Xenopus tropicalis: one gene and its partners. The protein of the gene in region 2 purifies or fractionates together with the protein of the main gene of each other region. This does not show direct contact. Links are inferred from orthologs where the notes say so. Each region holds a gene or a part of one and is shown on either strand. Other genes may lie near its edges.

Evidence for each region.
Region 1: the proteins of cdk13 (region 2) and ccnk purify together in Homo sapiens (affinity purification with mass spectrometry; 4 studies listed by BioGRID and IntAct, counting the BioPlex papers as one, with this or other methods). This does not show direct contact. The link is inferred for Xenopus tropicalis from reciprocal best matches to the Homo sapiens genes CDK13 and CCNK.
Region 3: the proteins of cdk13 (region 2) and cdc37 purify together in Homo sapiens (affinity purification with mass spectrometry; 3 studies listed by BioGRID and IntAct, with this or other methods). This does not show direct contact. The link is inferred for Xenopus tropicalis from reciprocal best matches to the Homo sapiens genes CDK13 and CDC37.

The regions. Positions count from the first base shown.
Region 1 is NC_030684.2:90,613,463-90,618,647, forward strand, and holds the start of ccnk (cyclin-K), read left to right. Parts: upstream 1-1,799; 5' UTR 1,800-1,870; intron 1,871-4,509; 5' UTR 4,510-4,543; coding exon 4,544-4,740; intron 4,741-5,185. UniProt on the Homo sapiens protein: Regulatory subunit of cyclin-dependent kinases that mediates activation of target kinases.
Region 2 is NC_030682.2:64,599,601-64,604,179, reverse strand, and holds part of cdk13 (cyclin-dependent kinase 13), read right to left. Parts: intron 4,233-4,579; coding exon 4,155-4,232; intron 3,474-4,154; coding exon 3,357-3,473; intron 2,341-3,356; coding exon 2,209-2,340; intron 938-2,208; coding exon 732-937; intron 1-731. UniProt on the Homo sapiens protein: Cyclin-dependent kinase which displays CTD kinase activity and is required for RNA splicing.
Region 3 is NC_030679.2:137,666,637-137,671,807, forward strand, and holds the start of cdc37 (hsp90 co-chaperone Cdc37), read right to left. Parts: upstream 3,296-5,171; 5' UTR 3,274-3,295; intron 895-3,273; 5' UTR 862-894; coding exon 760-861; intron 1-759. UniProt on the Homo sapiens protein: Co-chaperone that binds to numerous kinases and promotes their interaction with the Hsp90 complex, resulting in stabilization and promotion of their activity. Inhibits HSP90AA1 ATPase activity.

The DNA of each region.
Region 1 (5,185 bases), on a different chromosome or scaffold from region 2:
TTTAAAGATTTGCAGACTGACCTGGCTCCCCCTAGGGACCAAGTGCAGAGAATAGGAGATATAATTAGGGAGAGATGTAAGTTTAATTCTTATTTGCAGTACTGTATACTATTAAAATGACAGTTGCATGGCCCTTACAATGCAGCTTTTATATATGTATGATCCAGTTAAAAACTAAGAGAAGGGGCTGACAAAACACTGGATGGCAAACTCTCAGATCAGGTAAACTATTGTTATTCCTTGATGTGGAAAAGATTTTGACAAGACTGGTGTACAGTAGCAGTACATCAGTGGGGTAGTGTGTTTGGGGCCATGTATAGTATTGTAAGATGGAAACCAGACAATGATTCCTTTATTCAGCAAAGTACACTAACAGCACCACCACATGTTGTAGCTCTTTAAACAGAGCATTCATCATTCCTATCACTCCTTCTCCAGTGGGAGCTTGCTACCTTCATTCCCAATCTGTTAAACACTATGGTCAGGTATATACAAAACCAATTAATCTTCTTGCATGTTGGCTGTAGAGTCATTGTCTTTAATTTAACAATATCTGCAAAAATGGCCTGTGTTTTAGTACTATCCCTTGAGCAATGTTCCGTCTAGGCATTTGGGGGGGGGGGGGGCGGTGGACTGTGTACCCTTTTTTATGCAACGTTAGTGGGTCAGAATCTGTACAAAATTACAGAATGGTAGTATGATCTCTGCTGTCTGGCCAGGAACATTGCTCATTTACTGGCATATCAAAAGCATGCCTTCAGTCTCATAGCCCTAAAATATCTTCCAAAAGAGCTGCTGCCGGAAAACAAACCAGCAACTGTACTATCAATAAACTTCTGCTCAGGAAAATAGAGATTGGCACCCAAGGGGGTTGAGCAAATAACATAAAACACATACCTACTAAATTATGTTTGTCTTATCCTGGCAGAAATACAGAGCTGAAAAGAAGAAATTGCTTAACCCCCTAAATATTGCATAATGGCTTTCACTTGGTGACATTTCTTGCTGTACAGCACTGGGCTTGTTTTGCAAAACCTGAATCAAAATGTTTTTTTAATGGTCTTACATGCGTTATCATGGTCTTCTTTAATAAGCTTTACAACTAATAAGATCTAAAACCCCCAAATGGATACAATATACATTAGAGTCTATTTAGAGTATTACATTAACTACCAAGCTATAGCTATGTGCTAAGATGTAGTGCAGCAAACATGTACCTCCCCTAATTCATATGTGCCCAATACTTTTTCCCCATTACAAGCTTTATGTACAGGCAGCCCAGAAAGTGCAAGCTCTTGTGAAACATGTAGTGCCGCACTGCGCAGCAGGCCGACATTGTGGACACTGTATTAAAGAACCAAGAACTTACCTCCCTCCTCCCCTCCCCTCGTCGCCCTGGAAATTACAGTAGTCAAAAACGGCCACGGAGAATCACGAAAAACACACCGACTGCGGCTAAGACATGCAAGATGAGCTTTTCTCAACCTAACCCCAGTACTCCAGGGGTAAGCGTCATTTCCCAGCTAGCCATCAGTGATTGGAAGGCAATCTGGCTTCCTCAAGCTCTTATTGGCCGCTTGTCCTGGCAGTCCCCATGCAGGGCCGCCCCTCATCCAGCACTGAAAGCTAAAGCTTCAACATCGAAGTTTGGTTGCTCCGAGACAAGTGCACAACTCCACCCACCTCCGCTTGACGCTACTAGTCGTAATTGGTTGCTTCAGTTATGTCTCCTTTCTTAGACATTCGGGAGGAGTATGGGCTGCGAGTAGTGACGTGATGCGGCCCATTTACTCCAAGATGGCCGCTGAAAGCTGCTTGTGCTGCTAGCGTCCTGGCTCCCGAGGGGAAGTAGCGTGTAGGCTGGTGCCTGGTAAGTGTGAGGATTGATTGCGGGGTCGGCTGCCATTCCCATTGCTTGAGCGTACAGTTACATACATATGTATATAATATATATAGCAATGATTTATGGGACGATTGCTGATAGGGAAAGGGACGGGGTCTTAGAAGAGTTAAGAGTGTAAGTACAAGGGAAGTTCAGGGCTGTTGGTGAAAGCATGTAGGGTTCATAGGGGTCTATTCATTGTTGCATGAACGGCGATTTTTGTGTTACCAACGCATTGCCTTTGGTTCCTAGGCCTCACTTGGGCCGCAGATTAGAAATAAGTGCCATATTCTGTTCAACCTGTAAGATGAAACTCGGGCCTCATTCCGCTACAGGACCTTCTGTCTGTCTGTCTGTGTTCCACGGGACCTTCTGTCTGTCTGTCTGTCTGTCTGTCTGTGTTCCACGGGACCTTCTGTGTGTCTGTGTGTGTTCCACAGGACCTTCTGTCTGTGTTCCACAGGACCTTGTGTCTGTCTGTGTTCCACAGGACCTTGTGTCTGTCTGTGTTCCACAGGACCTTGTGTCTGTCTGTGTTCCACAGGACCTTGTGTCTGTCTGTGTTCCACAGGACCTTGTGTCTGTCTGTGTTCCACAGGACCTTGTGTCTGTCTGTGTTCCACAGGACCTTGTGTCTGTCTGTGTTCCGCAGGACCTTCTGTCTGTCTGTGTTCCGCAGGACCTTCTGTCTTTCTGTGTTCCGCTGGACCTTCTGTCTTTCTGTCTGTCTTCTGCAGGACTTTCTGTCTGTCTTCCACGGGACCTTCTGTCTGTCTGTCTTCCACGGGACCTTCTGTCTGTCTGTCTTCCACGGGACCTTCTGTCTGTCTGTGTGTGTTCCACAGGACCTTCTGTCTGTGTGTGTGTGTGTGTGTGTGTGTGTTCCACGGGACCTTCTGTCTGTCTGTGTGTGTTCCACAGGACCTTCTGTCTGTGTGTGTGTGTGTGTGTTCCACGGGACCTTCTGTCTGTCTGTCTGTGTTCCGCTGGACCTTCTGTCTTTCTGTCTGTCTTCTGCAGGACTTTCTGTCTGTCTTCCACGGGACCTTCTGTCTGCGTGTCTTCCACGGGACCTTCTGTCTGCGTGTCTTCCACGGGACCTTCTGTCTGCGTGTCTTCCACGGGACCTTCTGTCTGCGTGTCTTCCACGGGACCTTCTGTCTGCGTGTCTTCCACGGGACCTTCTGTCTGCGTGTCTTCCACGGGACCTTCTGTCTGCGTGTCTTCCACGGGACCTTCTGTCTGCGTGTCTTCCACGGGACCTTCTGTCTGCGTGTCTTCCACGGGACCTTCTGTCTGCGTGTCTTCCACGGGACCTTCTGTCTGCGTGTCTTCCACGGGACCTTCTGTCTGCGTGTCTTCCACGGGACCTTCTGTCTGCGTGTCTGTCTGTCTTCCACGGGACCTTGTCTGCCACTTATGGCCTTTTTTTAGTGTGAGCTAAAAGTGTTAGGTTGTGTGGGAACTTTATGCTAAATGCTGTCATGTAAATTCAGATTGTGGTTGTTGGTATAATGTGTGTACATTTTATGTTCAGTGTTACTCAATGAGAAAAGACACAAGTTGGTCCAGGTGAAAAGTGCCCTTATCCTACTGTCAGTGTTTCCTATAGGGTTGTATGGCAAACCTGCAGCCTAAAGCACAAAGTGGTGACATAACTACACCTGCTTAAAAACACCTGTCTAAATGTAACTGGCCATACAGGTTGATAATACTTTTCAAAAAGATAGACAAAGTGCTAGAACTTTGAAAAGAAAACACATCCTAGTACAACTGTTTTTAAAAATGCCTGCTTTGTTATGGAAATTAAAATTAATCACATGATTGGGTGCAGCAGGTGTGGTTCTTTCTCTAGTTTTGCCACCCACGTGAACAATATCTGGAATTGATTTGTGTTATTGGCAGTATTGTAAGCATCTTTGTGTAGAGGGCTACCCATCACCTCCATACATGCTTCAGCTGCTGTTTGCCATAGATTAGTGTGGGTGGCATTGACATGTGTATGGGGCACTGCTTTCTACCTGATTGCAGTGAAGAGAGAATAATAAAGCATTAGGATAACATTTTTTGGGTTGAGATCCCTCTTAAGTAAGATCAGTCAGCAGAGAGTAACATTGCTTGCTATACTATAGGAAGGTCTCTATCTTACAAGAGCAGTAGCAAATTAGATACTCTCTCCCTGTAAAAGGTAATTAAAAATAAAACTGTTTTATTAAAATTGTAATATTGGTGTGCTGATCCTCCTGCTGATATACTGTAAATATATCAACAGTAACTCTGCCGGCACTCATGTTTAACAGATATCCAGTGTGCCTGGGTACAGCCTATGTTGTATAATAATTTAATCAATATAAGGCATAGGTCCATACTTGCTGTCTTAGGAAGCGTGACAACTTTTATTAAGTGCCTTTGTCAAAGTAAAAAAAAAAAGTGTCACTCACCTCCCTTCTTGCCACAGTTTTGTCATGCTTATTAAGACCTTTGAGTGCAGGCCAATGCCGTATATTGATTATATATACATTCATTTCCTGTTGTTACAGGTCATTTAAACACAAAAAGGTTTTTATTTCATATCGCAGACAGAATATTGTGAGCTTGTTTGCTTATGAGTTTATATTTCTTTTCAGATCTAACCTGTGTTTCAAAGGTAAAACTGCATCAATGAAAGAGAATAAGGAGAATTCTAGCCCTTCCACTGCTCCTGCAAGCCTGGACCATGCAAAGCCATGCTGGTATTGGGATAAGAAAGACCTGGCCCATACTCCATCACAGCTGGAGGGGCTTGATCCTGCTACAGAGGCAAGATACCGGAGAGAAGGGGCTCGGTTCATATTTGATGTTGGAACCCGACTAGGGTTGTATCCTTCACTGTAACTTGTCACTTTTCATCTGTATTTTTTTAAAGTATATTTAGAGTAAAATGATATTACATAAGATCTATCAATGACCTGTAAAATATTTACTTCTAAATATTAAATGTGTAATGATGTCCCATGACTTAGTACAGAAACAGTAACAACAAAAAATGAAAATGTATCGAAGTAATTAAAATGTAAACTGTTGCCCTGCACTGGTAAAAGACTGTGTATTTACTTCAGAAACCCTACTGTAGTTCATATAAACAAAACTGCTCTGTAGCTATGGGGGCAGCCATTCAAATTTAAATAGGGATAAATGGCACAGTTTACATAGCAGATAATGGAGAAGCTCTGTATAATACCATTGTATTCTACGTAGCATATCTGTTATCTGCTATATAACCTTTGTTTTTGCTTCCCTTTCCATCTTGAATGGCTGCCCCCA
Region 2 (4,579 bases):
TTTGTATGGCAATTCCACATATCCCATGCGCCTTGCTGTTTTTATTGAGAGAAGCCAGTGCGAGAAGCAGGCCTGCTCCCCTCCCCTGGCCCCTGTGACACGCAGACACAGTGACACAGAGAAGCACAGAAGGAGCAGGCAAGCACTGGCGCAAGCGTGGCGCGCTCGGCGGGGTGGTGCGAGCCCAGCAGGGGAATCCAAGATGGCAGGCCGTGACAGGCTGGAAATACAGCTAACGAGCCAATTTTTGGGAGAAGTGACCATTATTTTAAAAAATAAATTTGGCGATTTGCTATGGGCAAGGGGACTCTACACTATATTAAGGGCTACAGTAGTAGCCTTTCCTTGCTCTTTAACTTCCTACATAAAACTCAAGTTAGTTAATATTTATTGTTAGGATCTGTGGTTATAAAAATGGCAAAATATTGGTCATAAAGCATGGTAATGCTTTGTTGGGGAAAAAAAGGCAAATTTGTTCAAATTATTTTAGCGTTGCCCTGTTCAATAAATGTACCAAACATACTATAATATTACAAACTGTTTTAGGAACACATACAACATTTTTAATACAAGTAATGGCAATGGCACAGGGTAAGATTTCTCATCAGAGGTTAAATCTAAGCTACTGCAGGCAACAAATCATTCATTAACCAGATAAGTGTTATCAAACATGGCCAGCCTCTGGTGCTGGTAGATGTTAGCTAGCGCTGTACCAAGAAGAGCATACCTACCTACTCCAACACTGGGGAATCCCTGAGTCTTTAGCTGTGAAGATATCTGCATGCCTTGTGGGGTGCTATTTCTGCTGTCATCCATGCCCAAAGATGAATCTTTCCTCGGTACTTTGGGAACTGTGAGATCATCACCCATCCCAAGTTGTTTTTGCCTTCTGCGTTTTTTACTCCACAACTCATGACAATCCTGCCAAAGGGGTAGGCTGCAAAGTAAGGAGAAAAATATTACAGATGATAGGAGCAGTATAATCCCTTTTCAGGCCGACACGGACACTAAAAAAACTACTCTTCAAATTATTAATGTACATTAAAAGTTACCTATAGGTCATGTTGATCATTTTTTACTAATAGGTATGAATTTGTAAATAATTGTTACTTGAAGTTTCTAAACGGGACTGTTTTACCAACCTGACTGTCCCTTCCCAATCTGTCAGTTACAGCTTCTAATGCTAACAAACTCCTGCTGCACAAATATGGCAGCCCCCTCATAGAGGAATATAGGGGATACGATAGGTAATGCAAAAGTAACAGGCAAATACTTTTATAGCAGAATTATACATAGCATGCAATACAAGACAATGTTATGATACATGTAATAAAAGGTTTAATTCCGTGTCAGTATCTCTTTAAAGAATAAGTAAACTTTTTTTTTTCTATTAATAAAATTACTCTATATAGCTTCCCCAAATTGCCTAACTTTGTGCCTCTGTTCTTTCTGACCTGGTTCCTGAGTTACAAGCTGCTCCGCCCCCACTTCCTGTTCAGGTCTCCCATTATATCAACTACCTCTAGTAGAAGTGGAGAGCCTTCTGCGCATGCCTGGAGGCAGCAGGAGCCAGTGCATTAGCAGGGTTTTTTTCTTGACGAGAGACCTGAACAGGAAGTGGGGGCGGGTCTTCACTCTGAACAAGGAAGGAGAGGAATCGAGCAGCTTGTAACTGAGGAACCAGGTCAGAAAGAACAGAGTGACAAAGGTAGGTAATTCTGGAGGCTGTTTAGAATAATTTTACTGATAAACATTTTTTTTTTCTAACAAGAATAAATCTATATAAACAGCCAAATTAAAACCACTCTTCTATAACTGCAGGGGAATTCAGACCAGCAAATAAGCACTAGCCCCCAATTTCACCTAACTTTTTAAGAAAATAAAATATTTATAATGATTTTTAAAAATATTGAGCTTGGGAATTATCAGAATTTCATTTGGGTGTCAAACAATTTTTTCTTCACTGGTGAGACTGAAGTTTCAGCAGGCCCCCTGGGGCCAATTTCACCTTTTCACTGAACTAGAAAAAGTATTTTAGAAAAGTTCTACTTGGCTATGCAGGCTATACAAATAATGGACCATGGATATTCTAACAAACCCAGCATTCTGGGTGCTATGGCCAGTACAACACATTAATGAATGAGCAATAGTTGCAAAACAACTGCAAAAAAGACTGGCACACACTATGGGAAAACCGTTAGTACTTACTCTGGCGGTGTCATTTTTGAGGGATCTACATCCCGAAGGAATTCACAAAGTAGGGCTTGCTCTGCTGTACAACGCTTGTTTGGATCTAGAGCCAGCATATGGTCAAAAAGATCTAAAGCTGCATTGGGGATGCTTGGGGAAGAAAAAAAAACCAGCTACATGTTAAAAGTGAACAGTAAAATACTACTTGAAATAATACAAATCAAATTAAGTCATCATAGAACTAGAGAATTTGCCATTACATTGAAAACAGGCATCTCTCGTAGGGGTGCTGCTGCCACAAGGTGAGTTGAGAAATTTGCCTCAGGCCCTCGGCAAGTTAGAAGAGGCAGCCAATAGACACTCCTGGTAACTTAAAGAGTTGAAATTCCGATTTTTACATTGGGATTTTGTCTGTTATAGAGGAGAGTGCCTCTACAATGTATAAAAAGGAAGTGTGTGGGGTGGTTTTTACTTGGCCACCTCAGGATAGCAAGAAGCCCTGAGACCGCGCTGATCATGTGGCACCCTGCAGAAGGAAATCTATGCAGACATACCTCTCACCTTGCTTAAATCTACCCACAAAAGCTGGGAAACACAATGAGTGATATTGAACCTACTCTCCAAAAAATAAAAATAAATCACGCTACCTTCTACTTCCTGACAAGATCCTATGAGCAACTAATCTGCTTGTCTGTCATTGCCCTTAGAGATGTTTTTCAAGTTTGTGTTTATTTACCTGGCCTGTTACTGGCTTGTCTTGACCGCTACTACCCCCCACTATTTGAGTTGGTATGCAAAAACACAATTGATTGCAAATCTGCAATGTCCAAAATTTACTGTGTTTTATAATTATTCAGCCACCCAATGATTTCATACAAATAGGTCTTTGGAGATGTTTGATATGCTAGGAGCCACAGGATTCTCCTGGATGCTACATCCTGGGAACAGGCCTTCTCTTGCACTATGCAATAAACAACCCCAGGAGCAGAATTTTTTTCATATACTACAATTACAGTATATATCAGTTGTTACATTTGTTAAATCAGTCTATCTGTGCAATGATAAGGATTAATCACAAAAAGAATGGCATATGGGAAGAATTATAAAATTATAGTAAATATTAAATGTAAAAAAAAAAAAAAAAAAAAAAGTACAGCAATACTTACAAAACAAACTCCTCTCTAAGTTTTCTACGATACTGTTTCTTTGGTTTCATGGTGTTGAAATACGGTAACTTTATAACATCTGGCCATACAGCAGGACAAGGACTTCCACACATTCGGCTTAAGAAAAAAAAAAAAAAAATAGTATTGTTATTATGCAACAGAGGATTAATTATATTATATATATCTGGAATGCTTAGGACCTGTATTTAAAAAAAAAAAAATTTGAAAAAGGTCCCAAAAGGGACCGAAACGTCGGTTGTACATGCAATTATAATACACAAGAGACTTTTTGAAACACAAAGACCCTTGGTGCTGGCTGTTTTATTTTGATATTTATATGATATCCCGTGCACAGGGGAGATTTTGGAGTGTGGTGCTGTCGTGTGGACTGTTTTTTATATTATATATATATATATATATATATATATATATATATGGCTTACGCACTATAATTAGTTAAATTCCCCTTAGACTTGTGTATGAACAGTACGTAAACCAGATTTTCAAAATCTATTCTACCGTGCATATGCAAGGAAAAAGGCTGAGGCACACACTTATAGGGATAACAACCTGGGTGCAAATCAGATAAACAGTGTAAATATGTAAAAAATGCTGATGCACACCAGGAAAATGTAATAAAAAAAAATACTTATTTTATTTAGATCAAATCCATTTATTTTTTAAATACAGGTCCTAAGCATTCCAGATAATAGATCCTAAGCTGATCACGAAGAAACCTTTTTTAATTCTTTGTCTAGAAATGGTAGATAAAAATAAATGCACATTTACACAACTCACCTTATAAGTTCAAGCTGTGCAAGCTCCTGATTTGCTTGGAAGATTGGTTTTTTTGTAAACAGCTCACCCAGGATACAGCTGAAACATGGGAAATTTAAATAGTAACCTAGTTATTAATCAGTAGAATGTTATTTAACTCCTTCCATGTTGTAACATGAAAAATTCACTTCATAATCAGTCCTTAGATTTCCAGAATCTTCCTAGTTGACACACCACTGGCTGCAGTATCATCATCTGTTATGCAGCCATCAAAGAAACCAATTGGAACATCTCTGCAGGTATGGGATCCTATATTCAGAAACCAATTACCCAGAAAGCTTCAACTATAAGAAGGCCATGTCCCATAGACTCAATTTTAATAATGTAGGGACCCATAGGGTTAACATGTCCCTATGGCTTTAAACACTACAACTTTCTTAGTCTGC
Region 3 (5,171 bases), on a different chromosome or scaffold from region 2:
TTTTTCCATGCATGATTAGGTGTTAACCCCATTTCCTAATAAATTAGAGAATAATTACTGCAGTATCGAAAATCAGAGTCAGGCAAGCGAAGGATCGGCAACAGAAAGTCGTAAGGTAAATCAGGCAGGCTTAGTTTCCCAGGCAAGGCCGCAGACAACATAGCACAGGAGGAGGCGTTTGATAGCTTTAAATACCCCCCACGCATGCACAGAACTGGTGCTGTCAGCGCGTCGCGGACGTGCACGCTTTGACATGTACGTGCGCAAGGAGGCGTGCGAGACCAGCCCACACGGGTGAGTACCCTGACACCCCGGTATTGCGGTATCTGAAAAATGAATATAGTTTTAAAAAAAAAAACACCGGTATTCGGTATTAAGCGGTATATCGCCCAGCCCTAATAATTTATATAATAAGCTGCTGTGTAGCCATGGGGGCAGCCATTCAAGCTGGAAAAAAGGAGAAAAGACACAGGTTACATAGCAGATAACAGATAAGTTCTGTAGAATACAATAGTGTTTTATCTGTTATCTGCTATGTGCCTGTGCCTTTTCTCCTTTGAACGGCTGCCTCCATGGCTACAGAGCAGCTTATTTATAGAAATTATAGTAGACTTTCTGAAGTAAACACACAACTTTTACCAGTGCAGGGCAGCAGCACATTATATTTTAGTTTACACTTTCATTTTTTGGTGTTACTGTTCCTTTAAAACATTTTCAATGAGGAAAGGAGAGAGAATCTTCCCCCCTATGTGGCATTACCTGGTGACGCCATCGGAAAAGACTGGCAGTGTCAATGTTGGGATGAGTGTCATCTTCGTCATCAGAAACTTCAATGTGGTCCCACACGCTATAATCCACCATTGTGTAGCAGAGATCAGACAAACAAGAGATTCACTGAAATGAAGGGCATAAAGAAAGACTTGTTTACAAGAATTCAAACATATAAAAGGTCTATATTACTACTTGCTACAGAAGCAGCTCCTGTGTGTCTAGAAAGCCTGATGTATCCATAAGGCCCTAAGCACGATCCTCTTATGTCTTAAGTGTTCATAATTATCTCCAAAATACCTCGACAGAGCCAATGCAATTCCAGCAGTTACTAGTACCTACTGTCATAACTGCTTCTGCCTCATCACTATCAAGGACTGAATCTAGGGCCAAACGGTAATGGAGCCTTTCTAATCTTTTTGTCTCTACAAAATGCATTGAAGGACTATCTGTCCTGTGTTGAATTTCCCCCACTAAAAGCTAATACAGAGGTCTTCAAGCTCCCCCTAACTGGACTTCAGGCTGGGCCCCCTTAGCTCATAACAAGGTTACAGATATATAGAAACATTGGGGTAACAGTCACCCTGCTATAGTTCCAGGGGTACCCAGGGCACAAATAAGCACTCACCCCAAATCTCCCCTAACTGGCCTTCAGGCTGGGCCCCCTTAGCCCATAACAAGGTTACAGATATATAGAAACACTGGGGTAACAGTCACCCTGCTATAGTTCCAGGGGTACCCAGGGCACAAATAAGCACTCACCCCAAATCCCCCCCCTAACTGGCCTTCAGGCTGGGCCCCCTTAGCCCATAACAAGGCTACAGATATATAGAAACATTGGGGTAACAGTCACCCTGCTATAGTTCCAGGGGTACCCAGGGCACAAATAAGCACTCACCCCAAATCCCCCCCTAACTGGCCTTCAGGCTGGGCCCCCTTAGCCCATAACAAGGTTACAGATATATAGAAACATTGGGGTAACAGTCACCCCGCTATAGTTCCAGGGGTACCCAGGGCACAAATAAGCACTCACCCAAATCCCCCCCTAACTGGCCTTCAGGCTGGGCCCCCTTAGCCATAACAAGGTTACAGATATATAGAAACATTGGGGTAACAGTCACCCTGCTATAGTTCCAGGGGTACCCAGGGCACAAATAAGCACTCACCCCAAATCCCCCCCTAACTGGCCTTCAGGCTGGGCCCCCTTAGCCCATAACAAGGTTACAGATATATAGAAACATTGGGGTAACAGTCACCCTGCTATAGTTCCAGGGGTACCCAGGGCACAAATAAGCACTCACCCCAAATCCCCCCCTAACTGGCCTTCAGGCTGGGCCCCCTTAGCCCATAACAAGGTTACAGATATATAGAAACATTGGGGTAACAGTCACCCTGCTATAGTTCCAGGGGTACCCAGGGCACAAATAAGCACTCACCCCAAATCCCCCCCTAACTGGCCTTCAGGCTGGGCCCCCTTAGCCCATAACAAGGTTACAGATATATAGAAATATTGGGGTAACAGTCACCCCACTATAGTTCCAGGGGTACCCAGGGCACAAATAAGCACTCACCCCAAATCCCCCCCTAACTGGCCTTCAGGCTGGGCCCCCTTAGCCCATAACAAGGTTACAGATATATAGAAACATTGGGGTAACAGTCACCCTGCTATAGTTCCAGGGGTACCCAGGGCACAAATAAGCACTCACCCCAAATCCCCCCTAACTGGCCTTCAGGCTGGGCCCCCTTAGCCCATAACAAGGTTACAGATATATAGAAACATTGGGTAACAGTCACCCTGCTATAGTTCCAGGGGTACCCAGGGCACAAATAAGCACTCACCCCAAATCCCCCCCTAACTGGCCTTCAGGCTGGGCCCCCTTAGCCCATAACAAGGTTACAGATATATAGAAACATTGGGGTAACAGTCACCCTGCTATAGTTCCAGGGGTACCCAGGGCACAAATAAGCACTCACCCCAAATCCCCCCCTAACTGGGGGATATATAAAGTTACTTTTCTGTTATGGTGAGTAAATTTCCTGGTATAATTTTGTCTCTACATCCTTCCTGGCAAATCAAAAAAACAACAGTAATGTAATATTTGATGGTTACCCCCCCCCCCCCCCAGATGTGACAGTGCGACCCCCCAACTCCTGCTTTACTTGCCACATGTCAGGGACTAGAATCAGAAACATGGCAGGGATATGGGGGGGGGGGGGGTAGATGAAAATAATATACTGTGCCCCAGCCATTAATGATGATAAAGCCTGGCTCCCAGATATTGTTAGACTACAACTCCCAGTATACTTTAAGTCTGGAGTATATGTTCAATAATTGTGAGAGTTGTAGTACAGCTACCCGGGCAAGAACAGCGCTCACTATACCAGGGAGTATTGCTTAATGCCTTAAACTGTTGCCCAAACAGCCTGTCCGTATAGGTAAATAGGATATAGCAGCACCGCAGGCAGGTATAAGAGAAATAGCCAGCTGTGGGAAGAAGCCATTACCTGGCACACCAGGGTGCAGCTGCAGGCCCCCTCGCAAGCTTCTGGAAAGCTCCTGCACTCTCTGCCTCAGCCTGCCCACTCCATGACATCACTTCCTTAACCTCGACGCGGCTGATTTGCCCTTACGCTAGAGTCTTCGGGCCGACTTCCTTTTTTGCCTATTCCATTCTCCTTGCGTCACTTCCGCCTTTGCTAGACAGGCAGGTTTGTTCTTGCTGCCGTAGGGAGTGGTTTGTGGAGGGGAATTGGAGATAGAAACGGCTTTATAGGATGGTATGCGAAGGGTTTTTCCACAATCAACATTATAGGCGGCCCAAGGGGGAGGAAAACATGAAACAACTGCTTATATTGTGAAAGGGGAACACCATCCGGAATCTGTTTTATTTTAACTTAATTCTAGGCAGCTTTCTGGTATACATACATTAAAAAGAAAAATAAATCATTTTGATATTTTGTGATTTTTGTTCAAAGCAGCGTCTGCCTGGCTGTTACTGTTGTTTGCGCTGCTGGTTCTGACTCCTGAAACAATGTAGCAAAACCAGAGAACAGAAAGGGATATACAAATACTGCTTGTCGTTACAATTGTAAATATAAATCACTTTGAAGCAATATATAATTGGTTTCCATTAGGTATTGGTTGAGGGTCAGTTACCAAATGTGCCTAATTGCCAGGCAAGCAGATCTGTGCTTTAAGGTGGCCATACACGTGCCGATTTTAGCGGCCGATATCGGTCCCTTAAGGTGTCCATACACGTGAAGATCCTACGGGTGGGTGATATCGGGGAACATGTAGGCAAATTTGATCGTTTGGCCCTGGGGCCAATCGAATTATAATGGCAATGGGGCAGTTGGTTCGGGGACTGCATCAACGAGCCGATGCGTTCCCCGATCCAACTAAATCTTTTAACCTGCCCGATCAATATGTGGCCAATGTGAGTCTAGATATCGGTCGGGCGTGCTCCTCGTTCCTGCCCCTACACGGGCCAATAAGCTTCCGAAACAGTCCAAGGGACCGATATTGGCAGCTACAATCGGCCCGTGTATGGGCACCTTTTGACCGATTCGGCAGCTTATTGGCCCGTGTAGGGGCACGAACGACGGGCCTGCATGACCGACATCTGGCCTGAAATCGGGCAGGTTAAAAAATTTTGACGGATCTGGGACCGCATCGGCTCGTTGATGCAGTCCCCAAAATGACTTGCCTATACCCGTCATTATAATTCCGTAGTTTGGCCCCAGGGCCAAATGACCAAATTAGCCTTCTTCAGGCATAAAAACAAGTGCATTGAACTTGATTAAATAGTCTCACACTTCATTAGCACACACAATTGTGCAATTAGCATATTTAACCTTTAAACAATCTGTAAAAGCCATTTCAAAGTGTAAAAAAGCATAATTTTATAATAACTCTTCTACTAGTTTAAAGCCCAGGTGGGGTTCCAATGTACAGCCAAGGTACAGATTTGGGCTATTTTTTAGCGCCTTGGCGGGTTTGTAGTTTGGAAACTAGCCAAAGTTTTTCCCTCTAGTGTGGCTGTCCCACTGCATGCTGGGTAATGTAGTTTGTATCTAACAATTAGCCTACAGCTAGGATTAATATAAAACTACAATCAATACCCAGCATGCAGTTGGGCAGTATAGACAGAGGCTCCATTTTGTATTCTTTTTTGCTCTTTCAGACTCAACCTGCATGTTCTGCAACCTGCTCCCTGCTCTATAGGGTATGTGATTGTACCATTACTTTCTATTGGGATGTGGGGGCAGTTCTGCAGTTGGTCCTTAAGCTTTAACTCTCAGGATACCTTGGGGCTTCTGAGAGTTGTAGTTCAACGCACCCATATATGTTTCAAGTCTGGGGTTAATGCAACATTCGGAATCTATTTCTGTAGTGACAGACT